2 linked regions of the Xenopus tropicalis genome follow. The protein of the gene in region 2 interacts with the protein of the main gene of each other region in a pairwise test. Links are inferred from orthologs where the notes say so. Each region holds a gene or a part of one and is shown on either strand. Other genes may lie near its edges.

Region 1 (3,376 bases), on a different chromosome or scaffold from region 2:
CTGATTCGGCAGCTAATTGGCCCGTGTATGGGCACTACCGACGGGCCTGCCCTACCAATATCTGGCCTGAAATTGGGCAGATATCCATCGGGAAGGGTAAAAAATCTAGTCAAATCGGGGACCACATCGGCTTGTTGATGCGGTCCCGGACCGACTTTGCCTGTACCTGTCGTTATAATTCGATCTTTTGGCCCCAGGGACAAACGATTGAATTAGCTTGGATTCTCCCGATATCGCCCACCCGTAGGAGCGAGCGGATCGGCCCGTGTATGGGGACCTTTAGTCTTTGTGCATTTTGGCCAACTTCTGAGCTCACTTGGGCCCATCTGGTCTTTCAGCGCTCATATCTTGGGTTGGGGGGGGACCATATCCAACTGGGCTGGTAGATTGAAAAACATGACTGGATATTTGGAATAGTTGGGGAGGTGATTACTATTAGCCTGTGCTTTCAAGAGAATCTGGATTGGTGTCCAGTGTTTGGCCAACCTAGCCAATGCACCATTCAGCACACAGCCTGGTTCTCTGATACGCACAATATTCTTTTCAGTGGACAGCACACAATATATATTTTTTCATTCTTTATTCCAAAAATAAATATCAGAGATGGAGGATACAATATAGAGAATCAACATTACCGTAAGGTAGCGTCCTTTGGCAACTGCATAAAGAACACAGATACGAGGTTCTTGAAACATTGACATTAGGGCAATACTGTTTTCAGATTATGGGGGGTCATTTACACTGTTGTATCAGCATATTTTATTTTAAAAAAAATCATTATAAAAGGCACAGTAATCGTTTTACTGGAAATGCATGGCACGTTTGTTATCCGTATTTGCTTCTCGTTACATTCAGAACAGGACAGTCGGCGCTAAAAACACTGCAGGTGATTCAAGGGTCCATTTTACAAACTGGTAAAATTTCTAAAATAAAAAAAAAAATTCTGTTTTTGGCTCCATTGCCAGAAGGCAGCTGTGAGAGGAATCTACTCTATTGTGTTTGGCCGTGTTGCCACGTAGACAAATACGACAATTAATGCCACGACCACGGCCAGCGTGGGAAGCACTACAGTGGTTATCTGCTGCCGGGCCTCTTGCATGGCCTGTTTCCTCTCCTTTTTATCTTTCGACGTCTCTTTCTTGGGCTTTCCCTTCAGCTGCCGCATCGTGACTCCTTCGGCTCAAACCGGTGGTGCTGCCAAGTTACGCGCCTCTTCAGATTTCAGCAGGTTGTGTTTCTGTAAATGAACAAAAAGGATTTAAAATACGTCCCTTAGACTGATTCGGCAGCTTATTGGCCCATGTAGGGGCAGAAACGACGGGCCTGCCCGACCAATATCTGGCCTGAAATCGGGCAGGTTAAAACATTTAGTCGGATCGGGGACCACAAAACCGGCTGTGCCTATTACCAGCATTCTAATTCGATCGTTTGGCCCCGGGGCCAAACAGCCTAAATTCACCCGATATCGCCCACCCGTAGGTGGGGATAACGGGAGAAGATCTGCTCGCTTGCCGACCTTGCCAAGCACGCGGATCTTAACGTGTATGGCCACCTTAACGGTTACAGCAGGGTTGCCCCCCAACCTTTTTACTCATCTACCACACTTAGGGGCCCATTCATTAAACCACGATTTTTGGGTGGTTTAAAGCACGATTGGAAAAAAATCGGAGTAACCACGATAATTTCTGATGTTCAAAAATGTCACGAAAATTATTTTCTTGGTCGTACGAAAATACTGTGGTTGCGATCGGAAAGTCACAAAATTTTCAGATCCAAACGTTCGGAAACTTCAATGCATGATTTTGGAAGTCTCCCATAGGACTCAATGGCAATCGACAGATCCAACCTGACTTTTTCGTGGAAGTTAACGAAAACCACAAAAGTCGTGGAATTTTAATGATATTATCGTGGACATTAATTTGTGGTTTAATGAATGGGCCCCTTAGACATAAAAGGTGTTGGGGAGCCACACAAGCATGAAAAAAGTTAATTGGGGAGAGCAAATAAGGGCTGTGATTGGCTATTTGGTAGCCCCATAGGGACAGGAGGCTGCTTGGAGTAAAACTACATTTTTATGCTCCCAAGAAACTTGTCTCCAAGCCAGAAATGAGAGGATGAAGGCCTAAATGGGAGGCTGCAGGACTCGATGGCTAAAAGGATTCCAGCAGGGTATCGGCCCACTGAGCGCACAATTATAAGCTATTATCAATACAATGGAAACCTCTTTCATACAAAAACAGAACTGTTGCTGCACTTGTGTTTTATATCCTTTTATTACCTGACAAATGCTGGGGATGTGCCGGCTGCGGATCAGTACAACACTGATACCCCCTAGGGATCCAGGTCATGGCTAAATAACGGTTACTGGGAAGCAGCAACATCAACGGCTTTGTTAAAAACTGCAGCACTTACACCTCTACAAACCCCTCATTTATTGCCATATACCATTTATCTACCAGCACTCTGCCCGCAGATTCTCTGCACTACTCTGTCATTTTCTATTTCATTGAAGCTCCATCCAGTCTGTTAACCTGTTCATTGCACTACTGGAATGGAATCTTAACCACAGTAAGGAAACGAGCAGGATAGTAATGGGATTAATTAACACTATGGGGGCACAATGCAGCCCCTGGTGAAATCCTGGGTCTGTTTGAAAGGAACTGGTTGTCAGCTGACATTACCATGTGACTCCCAACCCACCCCTGTGGGACTGTTCCATTTGCATACACAGTAGCTTTCAAGGTTAACCCCATTAGGCTTAGGCTGTGGGGAAAATGCAGGCCGAGAATCAGCCCCTCTAAAAGCATTCCTCCCAACATTTGAAAAATGAAAAGAGGGACAAAAAGATTTGGCGCGCGCAGAAATAGAAAGTGCCCCCCATTGACCCCATAGACAGTGCCCCCCCATTGACCCCATAGAAAGTGCCCCCATTGACCCCATAGAAATTGCCCCCCATTGACCCCATAGAAAGTGCCCCCCATTGACCCCATAGAAAGTGCCCCCCATTGACCCCATAGAAAGTGCCCCCCATTGACCCCATAGAAAGTGCCCCCAATTGACCCCATAAAAAGTGCTCCCCATTGACCCCATAGAAAGTGCCCCCCCCATTGACCCCATAGAAAGTGCCCCCAATTGCCCCAGACAGTAGCCCCCATACACAGTGCCCACATACACAGTGCTCCTTCTGCGGCTGCGACAGGCCCTTTTATAAGGTTGTGCCCCATGTGTACGTGTGACGTCAATATGCACGGGCACAACCTTATAAAAGGGCCTGTCGCCGCCACACAAGGAGCAGGAGCGCCCAGCTACAGCCATTACATCCCAGTGTCCAGGATAGTTCAATGAATGTCCTGCATTTGCTTAATCTATTACGGAA
Region 2 (3,756 bases):
AAGTGCTGTAAGGTAAATAAGAACTTCACAGTGAAAGTGTGGGTCACTTAGGTATTGTCTGACCATTCCTCACAAGCAATGAAGGTCTAGAAACCCACAGAAATCAATAAGTAGTATTTACTAGCCACCCACTTTAAACTCAAAACCACTTGGTTGGTTACTATGGGTTACTCGAACGGTGTAAACACTTATGATCTTATGATAGTGTCCCCAAAGGTGCAGCTACAATGAAACATATGCCACACACCTACCCCGCTGTCTCAGCGTCCAACATCAACATCACCAGATTTCTGGCAAACACAGCGCAATACATATTCAAATGCTTCCTCTGACAGTTAGGCATGTAAACATAACAAAGAGAAGCCTGAAAGGGGAACTATCACAAAGGCATAAATGCAACAGAAGCCTCATTTCATGAGACCAAAACTTTCTCCTAAACGACTACTTTCTATTACCAATAAGATGAAGCTTAAATTCAGAAAGAAAAACAGTTATGGGACATTACAGCTGCAGTGAATGGATTCATAGAAATAGTATATATTTTTCCCTAAAGATGATGTAGTGACTGACACACGTTTGGCCATGTTACATAACCATATAAAAAACAAATAAACAGAACCTGGGCTAGCTAGAGAAAACAATGAACTGCCAGGTACAGGTATGGCTTTCCTTATCCGGAAACCCATTATCGGAAAGGCCGTCTCCCATAGACTCCATTATAAGCAAATAATTCTGACATTTAAAAATGATTCCTTTTTTTCTATAATAATAATAAAACAGAACCTTGTTCTTGATCCCAACTAAGATATAATTACCCCTTATTGGGGGCAGAACAGCCCTATTGGATTTATTTAATGGTTAAATGATTCCCTTTTCTCTGTAATAATAAAACAGTACCTGTACTTGATCCCAACTAAGATATAATTAATCCTTATTGGGGGCAAAACAAGCCTATTGGGTTTATTTAATATTTAAATGATTTTTAGCAGACAAGTTATGGAGATCCAAATTACTGAAAGATCCCTTATCCAGAAAACCTCAGGTCCAGAGCATTCTGGATAACAGGTCCCATACCTGTACATGTATAACACCAACATTGTCCCAATATAAACCAATATCACTGGCTATGACTACCAGATTTATTATAATCTCACTCTCCTGCAATTAGGCAGTCATAATACAGAGTGCTACAGTAAAATGTCTTATTTGGAATATTTTTCATAGGGCTAGCCCTGGCATGCCGTCTCTTGGCCGGGAGTGTCCAAAGGATTACATGACTAACAACATGCCAAAAGTCTTGCTACCATGCAATTGTATGCATTATAAAACACACACACACATACCTCTCTAAAGGTGGCCATACACGGGCTGATTGCAGCTGCCGATATCGGCCCCTTAGAGCGATTTTGTACCTTATTGGCCTGTGTAGTGGCCCTAACAACAGGCCTGCCCGACCGATATCTGGCCTGAAATTGGGCAGGTTAAAAAATTTAGTAGGATCGGGGACCACATCGGCTCGTTGATGCGGTCCCCGAACCAACTGTGCCTATTACCGGCGCTCTAATTCGATTGTTTGGCCCCAGGGCCAAACGACCAAATTAGCCTAAATTCACCAAATTTGGGAGATCCGCTCGCTTGTATGGCCACCTTTAGTCATCAGTCTAAGGCTGAGGTCCCCAAACTTACCGGCCTTTGAGCCACATTCAAATATAAAAAGACTTGTGGGGCAACAAAATACAGCATATTAGAAGTGAATGAGGCAGAGGTGACTTCTAATATCCTTATATTTGACAACAGGGGGTATATTATTTCTTATAATAAACACATTTCAGCAAGTCATGTGAAAGATGACATCATTAAGGAGCATTTCTAAGGATACAAGGTACAGAACAGCCAAGGCTCCTGTGTATTAGAAATATATATTAAACATGATCTGAAAGATACATAGTAACATATATTTAAAGTAAATAACAGATGGCAAGTGTTTGGCGATGACAGTGAGTGTACATGAAGCTATAGGCTGGCCCGTACATAAACACACACGTCATCATTCCCACACACCCACCCGTGTAAGTGTGCCTCGGCACTGGCAGCCACATGACTGGGCACATGTATGAAGCACTAATAGCGAAACCATCACACTATCAAGCTCTTTGATATGAATAAAGTACAGTAACCCACAACAACAATGCAGCGCCGCTTCTCCCTCTAGTCTAGTCCATGTAAGCTCCGCCCTTACCTACACCTAAATCTCCCATTGGACCGCATCCGTCATTCCAAGTTCCAGTCCCGCCTACACTCATTATCGATTGGCTCCCACAGCTGCCCATCATGGGATCCCGCCTAAGCTTCGCACCCAAACATTGTCCTGAGCTCGTTCAAATTCTCGCCGTTCGACCCAATTGACGGGCGCTGGAATCGAAACGAGGTCCTAGTTACACAATGTGCTTCTTACCGTGCAGCGCGGCCTCCTCCCCGTTGTTGTTATTGTTCTCGGACATGGCGACAGCAGCAGCTTTTAGTCTGTCCGGGAGACGGAGCCGCACTGCGCAGCCACGCCCCGTCTGACGTTAATCAGCCTCATCACCTGAGGCGGAGGGGGCGGAGTCGGCTGATCACGTGATGTTGTTAACCCGTAACGCAGTACTGCCTCTCATTTGTTGCTTCTGACAACTGTGCGATAGTTTGTTTTAAATTATGGTGTCACCTATTGTTTAGGGCAGTGATCCCCAACCAGTGGCTCAGGGGCAACATGTTGCTCCCCAACCCTTTGGATGTTGCTCTCAGTGCCCCCAAACCAGGGAGTTATTTTTGAATTCCTGACTTGGGGGCAAGTTTTGGTTGAATAAAAACAAGATTTCCTACCAAATAAAGCCCCTGTAAGCTGATAGTGTGCATAGAGGCCCCTAATAGCCAATCACAGCCCTTATTTGGCAACTCCATGAACTTTTATGGTGCTTGTGTTGCTCCCCAAGTCTTTTTACATTTGACTGTGGCTCATGGGTAAGAAAGCTTGGGGATCCCTGGTTTAGGGTCTTGTCTTATGGTCCCCATACATGGGCCGACTATAGCTGCCGATATTGGTCCCTTGGACCGATTCGGCAGCTAATCGGCCCATGTATGGGGAGAGCAGAGCGGCCTGGCCGACCGATATCTGACCTGAAATTGGCCAGATCTTGATCGGCCAGGTTAGAAAATCCGGTCGGATCGGGGACCGCATCGGCTCGTTGATGCCCCATTGCAGCCCACATAATCCCCCCAGACCCCAGGGCCAAACGATCGGATTATTCTTTTTTTTACCTAAATTCTCCCCGATATCGCCCACCTGTAGTTGGGGATATCGGGTGAAGATCCGCTCGCTTGGCGACATCGCCAAGCGAGCGGATCTGTTCGTGTATGGCCACCTTAAGCCATTTTTAAACGTATGGGACCGGTCTGCTACTGTCTAATCGCTTATAGGCTCAGCAGGGAGCATGACTGGTCAGGTGTGTAAAGGCATGGCTGAGTTGCTGTGGGTGACTGGATATGGGTGAACTTTGTGCTTTGGTGTGTTTGGTTGTTTACATATGGGGGTTATTAACACTGACACGGGAAATACTCCTACAGAAATGAGAACTTATTTTTGAGTGGCTTTAGCTGCCCCCCTAAATCACACTAAGGGGCATATTTATATATATTTATATAAAAAGCTGTGTAATATAAATGGAAAAGATCGCCGCCTGAACGCCGGATATTACGCCGTTATTTTCCATAAGT

What was found.
Region 1: the proteins of bnip3l (region 2) and smco4 interact in binary tests that used the Homo sapiens proteins (3 or more experiments, as listed by UniProt). The two-hybrid records come from large-scale screens. The link is inferred for Xenopus tropicalis from reciprocal best matches to the Homo sapiens genes BNIP3L and SMCO4.

What each region holds. Positions count from the first base shown.
Region 1 is NC_030678.2:165,806,573-165,809,948, reverse strand, and holds the end of smco4 (single-pass membrane and coiled-coil domain-containing protein 4), read right to left. Parts: intron 1,238-3,376; 5' UTR 1,166-1,237; coding exon 986-1,165; 3' UTR 566-985; downstream 1-565.
Region 2 is NC_030679.2:127,988,588-127,992,343, reverse strand, and holds the start of bnip3l (BCL2/adenovirus E1B 19 kDa protein-interacting protein 3-like), read right to left. Parts: upstream 2,510-3,756; 5' UTR 2,502-2,509; coding exon 2,456-2,501; intron 2,415-2,455; exon of another isoform or gene 2,334-2,414; coding exon of another isoform or gene 2,240-2,333; intron 1-2,239.